Arabidopsis thaliana: one gene and its partner. The protein of the gene in region 1 interacts with the protein of each later gene in a pairwise test. Each region holds a gene or a part of one and is shown on either strand. Other genes may lie near its edges.

What was found. The genes of interacting proteins can lie anywhere in the genome.
Region 2: the proteins of PR5K (region 1) and GOS12 interact in a protein complementation assay, tested with the Arabidopsis thaliana proteins (one large-scale study listed by BioGRID).

The regions. Positions count from the first base shown.
Region 1 is NC_003076.8:15,292,535-15,299,576, reverse strand, and holds PR5K (PR5-like receptor kinase), read left to right. Parts: upstream 1-1,993; 5' UTR 1,994-2,296; intron 2,297-3,667; 5' UTR 3,668-3,738; coding exon 3,739-3,799; intron 3,800-3,889; coding exon 3,890-4,577; intron 4,578-4,838; coding exon 4,839-4,894; intron 4,895-4,977; coding exon 4,978-5,010; intron 5,011-5,092; coding exon 5,093-6,199; coding exon of another isoform or gene 6,200-6,252; exon of another isoform or gene 6,253-6,381; coding exon 6,382-6,455; 3' UTR 6,456-6,529; downstream 6,530-7,042. UniProt on the Arabidopsis thaliana protein: Possesses kinase activity in vitro.
Region 2 is NC_003071.7:18,637,006-18,641,858, forward strand, and holds GOS12 (golgi snare 12), read right to left. Parts: upstream 3,035-4,853; 5' UTR 2,636-3,034; coding exon 2,503-2,635; intron 2,113-2,502; coding exon 1,862-2,112; intron 1,394-1,861; coding exon 1,304-1,393; intron 1,190-1,303; coding exon 1,118-1,189; intron 1,003-1,117; coding exon 873-1,002; intron 782-872; coding exon 684-781; 3' UTR 512-683; downstream 1-511. UniProt on the Arabidopsis thaliana protein: Involved in transport from the ER to the Golgi apparatus as well as in intra-Golgi transport. It belongs to a super-family of proteins called t-SNAREs or soluble NSF (N-ethylmaleimide-sensitive factor) attachment protein receptor.

The sequences.
Region 1 (7,042 bases):
GCCTTCAACATAGCTCTTTTGGGGAAGCAGCTTTGGAGGATGCTTACTGAAAAAGATTCTTTAATGGCGAAGGGGTTCAAAAGTAGGTATTTTAGTAAATCTGATCCTCTTAATGCTCCCTTAGGTTCGCGACCATCCTTTGCCTGGAAAAGTTTTCATGAAGCACAAGTGCTTATTAGACAAGGTGCAAGGGCAGTGGTTGAAGATGGAGTCTCTGTGAATATCTGGACGGATCCTTGGATCGATTCTAAACCGGCAAAGGCTATCCAAATGATGAAAAGAATTCCTCTGGACAGTCAACAAGCGGCTAGTGCTATTAACTGTGTTAAAGACGTAATGTCGTTGGATGGACGAGGATGGAATAACACTCTAGTGAAAATGCTGTTTACAGAGGAGGATCAGAGGAAAATCTTGGGTCTCCGGCCAGGGGGTAAGGATACAAAGGACAGGTACGCTTGGGACTTTAGTCGCTCCGGTCACTACTCGGTGAAATCAGGTTATTGGGTCATGGCTGAGATTATCAATAAAAGGAGTGCACCTCAAGAAGTCCTTCAACCAAGCTTGGAACCAATTTTCCAACAGATTTGGCGGTTAGAGGTTCCACCTAAAATTCATCATTTTCTGTGGAAATGTTTGAGTAACTGTCTTTCTGTTGCTGGAAACCTTGCCCACAGACACCTGGCTAGAGATAAGGGCTGCGTTAGATGCCCATTCCTAGGAGAGACAGTTAATCATTTGCTTTTTAAATGTACCTTTGCCCGGCTTATTTGGGCAATCTCTCCCTTCCCAGCTCCTCCAGGGGGTGAATGGGTTGACTCTCTATATTCAAACATGTCTCATGTCCTCATGTGCAATCAGTCTCAGCCTCACAAGGCTGACTCTCATGAGATGGTACCCTAGATTCTTTGGAGATTGTGGAAAAACAGGAATGATCTAGTGTTCAAAGGAATAGAATTCTCAGCCAAACAGGTGATCCTTAAGGCTACAGAAGATTTGGAGGAATGGAATAACCGCAAGGAACCGCAGCCACAAAAAGTTCTCCCTCAACCGCCAGGCATGCAATGCAGGAGATGGCAACCCCCAAGCTACGGTTGGGTGAAATGCAACACAGATGGTGCCTGGGTTGATGTAGCTCCGAACTGTGGCGTTGGATGGGTGCTGAGAAACCAGTTTGGAGAGGTGTTGTGGATGGGGCTAAGGGCCTTACCAAGAGTGCAGTCGATGCTGGAAACTGAGCTTGAAGCCCTGAGATGGGCAATCCTTTCATTGTCCAGATTCAATTATAAAAGAGTGATCTTTGAGTCGGATTCTCAGTTCTTAGTGTCTTTGATCAAGAATAATATAGACCATCCAAGCCTAGCTTCAAGGATCCAAGACATTAGGAATCTCCTCCATCACTTTGATGAAGTCAGGTTTCAATTCATATGGCGTGAAGGAAACAGAGTGGCCGATAGAATTGCAAGGGAATCTCTTTCTTTAGTGAATTATGATCTCATTTTGTATTCTGTTATGCCAGACTGGATCAAACACATTGTGGTTTTAGAATCCGTGTAATCGAACGTTGGATAATATAAAGTTGTTGTTGAGCCAAAAAAAAAAAAAAAAAAAAAAAATTCAGAGCCTGTCTACAACGTACATATATGTACGACATACGTTGAACAAGCTAATCCTGTGATACATGACGAACGACACTACCTATAGTACTCTTAGTACTGGAACCTCCCATAGACAATTAACAATCAACAACTAAAAAACGAATCCCATACTTCATGTAAAAGGTTTAAAAGGTCAAGGAGTTTCCACTATATATCTTCTTGTAGCCAAAAGTTCAAGTCAATAAGACATGTTTTTATAATGATTAAGCGCATAACAGTAACAAGGGGTTAAAAAAATAGAAAATGCAAAAAAATGAAATAAACAAATGCAGAAACTACAAAGAAGACGCGCTTGAATCGACGACATAAAAGAAGACAAAAAAATTCGACATGACCCATACAATCCATTAACCAAAAAAAAAAAGAATGAAAAGGAAAGTTTTTTCATAGGTTTCATCAACTCTTAGTAAAGAGAGAGAATGGATCTGAGATCAATTAAGCCACTAATTGATTCATCTGAGATCAATTAAGCTACTTCTTAGAGCGAGTCTAATCCTTACTTCTCTTCGTGGAGTCAACAAATTTTGTTGTTGTTCCATAACGCATCTTCAAATTTCAATTGTTTTTTTCATTCATAAACTTGAATCACAGGCTTGGTCTTGGAATCATTGGTCAAAAGAGAGAGGCTACAACTTTAAAAGGTAAACCAAATATGAAAAGAATTGATGTTGATCTTAAGCTTATCTTGTTCCCTTTGCTGCTCTTGTTTAGTGTCTCGGTTTTTGCTTAGGGGAGTCTGTAGATCGAGTCCAATACATCTTCTTGGCATGAGCTTAGTCGATGCATTGAATCAATCTCGAATAGTTTATGCTTCTGTTTTTAAACTTTTTTTTTTCTTTTTGCATGAAACCATGTTTTTAGGATTTCTTTTATGCAATGTTTTGAAACCCGATCCGGACGATGAACCGGACTACCTTTTGGGTCACCAGGTCATCGGGTCAACTGGATTAGACCACGAATTAATTAGTTAAAATTTATTTAATAAATTTAATATTAATAGAAATTTTAGAGTATTTTATAAAAAAAAAAATTTAGTATTATAAATATAAAACAAAAATAATCATATCATATTTAATCAAATATAAAATTATATTATGTTTAACAAAATATAAAATCATTTACACCCAAATATATATAGAAAAAATCAAACAATAATAATAAAGTGGTTAAAAATTTGAAATCCAACTAAATGTCTAACACCGTAACAAATATATTAGAAGATCATCAATGACAGAAATAAATTAATAAAACATTGTGAATTCAAACAACTAATCTCGGTTGTCTCTCTCACCATTCAATTCAATTTTAAGGCGGTATTGTAAAGTCTTCACCAAAATCTAAAACATCAAATGAATTTAAGAACTGAAAAAACTTTTAAAAATAATTGAATAAATTCTAAAATCTCATATTTTATTATAAAATCAAGAGAACTTTTTAAAACCCACACCCGGCCGGTTCAACCGGTTCACCGGGTCACGAGTTAATTGCGAGTTTTTGTGGGTTTTTTCGGTTTTGAACTTGTTGGGTTTTAGCACTAAACCCAAACCGGAAAAGTGTTCGGGTCACGGGTTAACCGGTCGGACCGGACGGTTCGGGTCGGGCGTGAAAACACTGCTTTTATGTAAAAAATAAACTTTCATTTTCACTAATGATTTTTTTTCCTATTAAATCAAAACCCAAGAATTAATATATGAAAATAATTAGGGGACGCAAAAAAATTTAAAAGAATAAGGACAACGATGTAATAAATGATTTTTATAATAAATGATGTTTTTATATAAAAGAGGTAGATTAAATGAGATTTTATGATTTCGTTTGTAAAAACCTTAAACTACAACCAATATGAAATAGAGGGAGTATGTTTTACTCGGTAGATAGGTTACTATTCAGTACATCAGATTCATGTCGCATTAATTGGATTACAAAGATGTTTGTTGCTTTTATAAAGGGTAGTCATATATCTTCCTTTTGTCTATGACTTTATAACATTTCAAAATTTTAATCCTGAATAGGCCTTCAATAACGTTGGACCGGCTCTAAGAGGACAAAGGGTAGTCTTATATCTTCAGTCTTCTACAAGCCAATGGTTGAAGGGTTCTCATTGTCATTGATGTTCCTCCTTGTTTCACATTTCTTTGTCTCAGGTACGGTCACTTCCACATAAGTATAATTTTTGGTTTAGTCGCTATTTGATGAATTTTCTTTCTTATTTTAAAATTTTGTTTTAATGGCAGGAGTAATGTCGAGAAACTTTACTATAGAGAACAAATGCGATTACACTGTCTGGCCGGGATTCCTAACCATGACTACTGCGGTTTCGCTCCCCACCAACGGCTTCTCCCTCAAGAAAGGGGAGTCACGTGTCATCAATGTGCCACCGTCATGGTCAGGTCGTTTGTGGGGTAGATCGTTCTGCTCCACCAGCTCAACAGGGAATTTCTCATGTGCCACGGGAGACTGCGGCTCCGGAAAAATCGAGTGCTCCGATTCCGGAGCAAGGCCTCCTACGACGCTAATTGATTTTACCCTTGACGCTACCGACGGTCAAGACTTCTACGATGTAAGCGTCGTGGATGGTTACAACCTTCCGTTGGTTGTGGTCCCACAACGTCTAGGGAGTGGCCGGACATGTAGCAACGTTGGTTGTGTGGTTAACTTGAACAAGACTTGTCCGTCGGAGCTTAAAGTGATGGGAAGCTCTAACAAGGAACATCCCATTGCTTGCATGAACGCTTGTCAGAAATTCGGGTTGCCGGAGTTCTGCTGCTACGGTGAGTACGGTAAACCTGCAAAATGTCAACCGACGCTTTACTCTACGAATTTCAAGAACGAGTGTCCACTCGCTTATAGCTATGCTTATGACAATGAAAACAACACCTTCAGATGCTCAAACTCACCTAACTATGTCATCACCTTTTGCCCGTAAGTCCTCGTATATAACTCTCCTCTAGTAACTTTCTATTTCGTCAAAGACATCCTACAGCTTTAATTTTGACCATTTACTCTAGTTATATTTTCTAGAATGTGGTAATGTAAATAATCAATAATTGCAATGCGTGTGGGGATTATAGCTGAGATTTACCCTAATGTCTGATTAGCTAGCGTGTGCCTATTGATTTTTAAAACATTGGTCTTTCGGACAAACTATGAAACTAATATGTAATAATGTCACTTGTTGGATAGCAACGACATAAGTTCAATGTCTCAACCATCCAAGGAAACTAATGGAGGAACGAAACGTAAGTTTATTTTATTTACTTTTTCATACCTTATGTTATTTTAATTTTTGCTTAAAAGACTTTTTGTTTGAATGTTCTTACAGAAAAGTCATCATGGAAGTTAAAACTCATAGTTGGTACCATATCTCGCTCAATCCATAGTACTTTTGTATACGAAAAACACCTCGTTTTTAATTCTTCTTAATTATCTTATTCCAGGAGTCTCAGCAGCTTTGACCCTGATGATCTTAATTGTGGTCGTAATAATAGTGAGAACAAAGAATATGAGAAATAGTGAGTGGAATGATCAGAACGTTGAAGCAGTTGCAATGTTGAAACGATACAGTTATACAAGAGTCAAGAAGATGACAAACTCATTTGCGCATGTTCTCGGTAAAGGAGGATTTGGAACTGTCTACAAAGGAAAGTTAGCCGATAGCGGTCGGGATGTCGCAGTTAAGATCTTGAAGGTGTCAGAGGGTAATGGAGAAGAGTTCATTAATGAAGTAGCAAGCATGAGTAGAACATCTCATGTCAATATTGTTTCTCTGCTTGGATTCTGTTATGAAAAGAACAAGAGAGCTATAATCTACGAGTTCATGCCGAATGGGTCCCTCGACAAGTATATTTCTGCGAATATGTCAACAAAGATGGAATGGGAAAGATTATACGACGTTGCGGTAGGTATCTCTCGCGGCCTAGAGTATTTACACAATCGGTGTGTCACGAGGATTGTCCATTTCGACATAAAGCCGCAGAACATACTGATGGACGAAAATCTTTGTCCTAAGATTTCAGATTTTGGTCTTGCTAAACTCTGCAAAAATAAGGAGAGCATCATATCAATGCTACACATGAGAGGGACCTTTGGATACATTGCCCCTGAAATGTTTTCCAAGAATTTTGGAGCAGTTTCGCATAAGTCAGATGTTTATAGTTATGGGATGGTAGTTCTTGAGATGATTGGAGCAAAGAATATAGAAAAGGTTGAATATTCTGGATCTAACAATGGTTCAATGTACTTTCCAGAATGGGTCTATAAAGATTTTGAGAAGGGAGAAATCACAAGGATTTTTGGAGATAGTATAACTGATGAAGAAGAGAAAATTGCAAAGAAATTGGTATTGGTTGCTCTATGGTGTATACAGATGAATCCATCAGACCGTCCACCAATGATCAAAGTCATTGAGATGTTAGAGGGGAATCTAGAGGCTCTTCAAGTACCACCTAATCCTCTCTTGTTTTCACCCGAGGAAACGGTTCCAGACACTCTTGAAGATAGTGATGACACTTCAACCTTCTTTAATCCAAGTCATTTTGAAAGAGGTACTCTCTTAGATAGTGAAGATGTTTTACAACATGGGTCAAGGTCCTCCTAAACTAAAGTCAACCGGAGAGCGGATCTCTTTAAACTTGTCATGATCTTTAGCTATTTCTCGATTAGTTTTTAATAACTTCTGACTTAATAGTGTGTTTCTATGCTTATTAGATGATGTTTACTGACGCAGGCACTCAATATTGTTGGTTAATGAAGACTATTTTCTGTTGTTTTTCTCTTGGAAAGAGAGAAACGTTAATATAAACTCCCCAAAACAATGTTAAGATATCAATAAAATTCTTTTGTGTTTCTTGATAAAATCTTACGATAGGCGTTCAATTGTTTATAGTAACTTTTGCGCCAAATTTAATGTTCTTGTTCGTTAACCCCAAAAAAATTTAACCGTTTAGCAAAGAGAAAAAGGAAAATTCTAACCATTTGGAGATATATATCAAATTTTGTGGGATTGAGTAATGTTCAGGGTGTAGGTCTCCTTGATCAAGTGGTTGACCACATGTTAATAATTATTTGGATAATTGCATATATGCCATTTTCACGATTTACGTATATGAGTGTATACAACTTAATTAATTTCTAACTATTTTTTTCTTTTTTGTACCAAACACTATTTATATTAAGTTATCAGAAAGAGATTTTCCTATAAAGAAAGCCATTCAGGAACCGATTTGCTTAGATGGGAAAAAAAGACATTTTCGTGCCCGAGTTTTCTTAGCTAAATTATCTGCTCGAGTATTAAGACTACGAGGAAGAAATCTAATACTAAATGAAGGGAAAAAACAAATTAGAGACCGAAAAAAGCCAATTCCGCTGCAAATAAAAATTTGGATAAA
Region 2 (4,853 bases), on another chromosome or scaffold:
CCACAATAATTTGACCATATAGTTATTACTTATTAGGAACGAAAACTTAGAAAAGTCAATCAGGCCTGGCTATTATGTGGGCTTTGGCCCACCACAATATCTCTAAACCGGTACGAACCACATTGATTAGCACTTCTTGAAACTATATGTAGGGCACATAAGAGTATAGACAGGAAAATAAATACAAGGGACTGGATCATCATTAGTGAAGTGTGTACCCACTCAAAATAAAGAGAGTGAGGCCTTTAGATATTATGACCTGAGTGGATGTAAATGTAAGCTGAAAGATGAATTTATGAGTTGGATTACTTTTTCGTACAAAGTATTGTGGTCGAGAGGACCAAACTAAGGGAAAGAGAGAGTAATAAAAATCTAACATAATAAAACAGAGCATAATGTGTTGTATTGGACCACATTGTATGTTGGACCAATGTTGAAGAATTTAAGCGTGTGGTAATAAAAAGTAAGTACCTGAATGAAGTCACATGGGTGGATCTTTGATGTTGTGAAATATATGTTTCGAATTTTACTTTTACGATATGATTCAGGGTGTAATATTGTCCTACAAACATATAACCCAACATAATGGCAAAAACACAAAAGCAAGAAAAAACTTGTAAAAAAATCGATCTAGGGATGTCAAGGCAAACTCGTTTTATAGCTTAGGTGTATGAACATTCTGTTTATTTTGAGAGCCAGTAGATGATTAGAAACAACGTACAAGCAGCGATGACAGCGGAGAGGATAAGTGTGTCCCGAGAACGTTTCCTTTTAATTGAGCCTATTAATTGAAAAAACCAAAAGTTGCTTAAGGATAATAGAAGGCTAATGAGATTAGTTGAGAATATCATATAGAGGTTGAATAGAGATACCAAGTAAGCCACGAATCACTGGGAATTTGTCTCCGAGATTTTTTACTTTCCCTTGAACATCTGAAAACAGAGATCGTTGAGAGCCAAGAACTGCTCTTGTCGCTTGAGCTTGACCAATCACATCATCAATCTGCAGCCAAATTCTCCATAACATCCTCATTAGAAAATTACCTTACAAAGTGGGCTATTATTAACAGAATATAACACTCAGATTACAAATGCCATGATTACAGAAAGTATCTTACATGGGATATACTTCCATGGATTGAAGCTCTCTCCCTTAACACTTGCACACCTGGTGACATACTACCAGAAGCCTGCAGAAGCAAAAACAGAACCCAACTTCCAATCAAAATGTGAGCATAGAAGAATGTGTATCTCCAATAATAAGAATATTCATTTTCTAAACTAAGAGGCTATAGGATCTTTACCTTATATTCACTTATGTCATCCCTGACAGAACTCAGAAGCTCAGCGTGTTCTCTCAACGAGTTTATATTTCCTTTTATTCTTCGAAACTCCTACAAGTTCACATTAAAATATCATTATAATGAAAAAATAGGCCCTATAATACGTATGATTTCATATTACTACAGAACACACATAAGTATCACTAAACAAATCTACACTAGTGCAAAGGGGTTTTCCTTTTCAAAATGGGACTGCAATTACTCAGCTAGTATCACTGATCACTGATGCATGATACGCAAACAGTGGATAGGAGTACCAAAACTTTGTTCTATGCAAAGGCATCTATCAACTTATCTACCTTATGCATAATGCACCAAAATTATTTAGCTGAAGATTGTTGCATCAATAGCATGATCAGAATTTTCAAGTTTGAGATCCCCGATATATTACTAAGTTATAATTCTCCAAAATGTCATTCAAACTTCGAAAAATAACAAATAAACTTACGTGATGGGGATAGCTATTGAATACAACAAAGAGCTTAGAAAGGAAAGAAGTCAAATATGGTGCAAGAAAACCTGGGTATATTCATGAAGTATATCCCTGTGCCTTGCTAGTTTTTGAGTAACCGATGTTGTGGGTGCAGCAGATGCAGCACATCTACTCATGGAATCATTAATATCCAACAACTTCTCAAGCAACGATTGAATTTCCATCTCCATAGACTTCCATGATCTCCCCGATCCAACGGTTGGAGACCCAGTGTCAACATACCCTGAAACCAAAACACATTTCAATACTTTCTCATAATTCATAACAAGATCAGTATCTGATACATACAACAATGCAATTCTTAAAAACTGAAAGCTAATGCAAAACAGTAAGCTTAACACACAAAAATTCTTCTTACCTTAGTCATTCACAGAAAAATAATTTTGACAGGAATCTGAGAGAAACATTACCAATTTTAACTTTACTCTACCAAACACCACACATGAATTAAGCATTGGGGAAGCATAACATAGACTGAGCAAACAATGGCGATCAAATTCAATTCGGTGAAGAGATCATATCCAACATTGATTCCTAGATCTATATCACATTACAGACTACTAACCCCCACATTCAGATAGTAGACATAACAGCAACATTCAAAGCAATGGAAATAACAAAGAAAGACACAGATAGCATGATCAAGCGGAAAGGAAGAAGAACGAACCGCCTTGAGTAAACCTGGCGCCTAGCTTAGCGTAAGAAGAGAGCTTAACGTCTAGATCTCCTTCAATTTTACGAGCTTCCCGCCTAAGTTCTTCCCAACCAGATTCCTGCAGATCCAGACTCGATTCTGTCATTTTCCGATCTTCAACAATTCAGATCAGTAACCTCTCCGTTCTTAGATAACTCTCCAGCTCCGCCGTGAACCAATGCCGGAGCTCTCAGTACAACGACGATCTGATTCTCACTGAAACTGATGGAACCAGCGATGACGAGAGGATCGCATCCCTCTTCCCTCCTCCGCTTCTTCGCTCCACTGGTGATGGGCCTTTTAATCAAGGACTTTTATTATTGGGCTCACCATAGTCATGGACTTTTATTATTGGGCTCACCATAGTCATGGACTTTTAATATTGGGCTCACAATAATCAGGGACTTTTAATATTGGGCTTATTAAGGCTTATAGTAAGCCTGAATTGGGCTCTCGATTAAGTTGACGTTAAAAGCCGAGTGACACGTTCGTATATGTACGCACTGTACGGAAACACGAAGCTGATGAGTTGGGATTTATATAAGAGAAGTGTTTGGAACAAACTTCTTTCTGATTCCTATTATCGAAAGGTCCAAATCAATTTGTTTTTTTTTTGTGATTCGGAAATTGTGCTTAACTTCAACTCATAGTTTTTGCTCATATATAGCTAATTTAACTTGGGTTAATAGAAACAGGGATGGGCAAAAAGAAACATATATATATGATCACGAAAAACGAATATCTTCACCAGCTGGGTGGGTCATATCCATTATGAACGTTTAAACGTCTTTTAGCTAGGATACGGACTACAACAAAATATGATTAACCATATATACAAAGAACTTGTCGGTTGGAAACACAAATTGATTTTAAGGAATATTGGTTTTTTGGTTTACGTATTATTGTCGGTTTAATATTTTTGTTTTGCTTTGATTAAGTGTGTAAGTACAATTTACACTGCATAAAACCTTTTTTATATATACATAATTTTGTTAGCTAATTTATCAGAGTATAATCACTCATCTCTCATGTGCTTTTTATTTTATTTTTTAGTGGTCATTTTGTTTAGTTATATTTCATTACTTTAAAATTCCAAGAATTTTTTGGATGCAGCACAAACACGATCTTAATTTACAAATGAACGTGTAATTGTGTAAAGTAACTCAAAATATAGAAAGCTTCTCTTCTCAGATTTGATTCGTGGGAAATTCACCATTTTAGCTCCAAAAAGCTTAGTGAATCCTCCAATTACTCAAAACTAGATCTATCTTTATTGGTCTTTTTAAAAGCTTTTTTGTCCTGATATGAATATGTATATATATCAACCATCATCAACGTACACAAGTAACGCAACTAGAGGACACACCGTACACATTTTGTTCTCGTAATATAATTTTAATTCTATATATATTTTTTACAAAATCACAGACAAGTAGATGATCACTAGGGCACTAACCTTATTAAAAAACAGTAGATGATCACTAACAAATAAATAAACGACATTATAAAATGAGATGGTGGGGATTTGATCTCGTGTGAGTGTTACCGAATAGGTTCAAAACTTTGTCCCACTTGGCCAGCACACGTGTGGTGGCATAGTTGTCTTCATCTTCGAAGTTCAAACATGCTAAGCATGTAAGCTCCGACAAAACATATTCAGATAATAAAATAATTTCAGGCCTTTCTTCGATAGATCATATTTTCAGATTCAAAATCAACCATAGATAATAATATCTGCGTAACGAATTACACGCTAAAATACCATAATAGTTTGACACTACTGTTTTTTTTCGTATTGTGAATTTGTGATTGATAACCCATCAAAACGTTTCAGTGATAATGATAAATGTAGGCTAAAGGTTAATGGGACGTGTCATATTTAATGTAGATTCTTCGGGTTTGGACTATCTGCCAAGCAAGAGAAATATGGCAGTTTTAATCTAATCCAACGGTCATAGACCTTAGTCTTCATCTAACCGTTCATTTATTTAGACTCCATATAAACTCCTTTAAAGACCTCTTGTCTTTCACTCATTCTTCTCTTGATCTCTTCTTCTTTAACGTTTATACTTTATATACATCGAAAGCATTTCTTCTTTGTCCGTTCACATCATTTTCGAATTTGTGTTTTCCCTAGAAATTGTCTTTTTTTTTTTCTTTCTTATAGAGAAAATCAAGAAAATGTAAAAAAGATTGATATATTTATTTATTCTCGTTCAAATGAATCACTCTTTATTTGACTCGTTAGTCCATGTCTCGTCTCACTCTCTTAATCTCTATTTCCTCTCAGATCTCTCAAAAAGTGTAGTTTTGTGACAAAAACT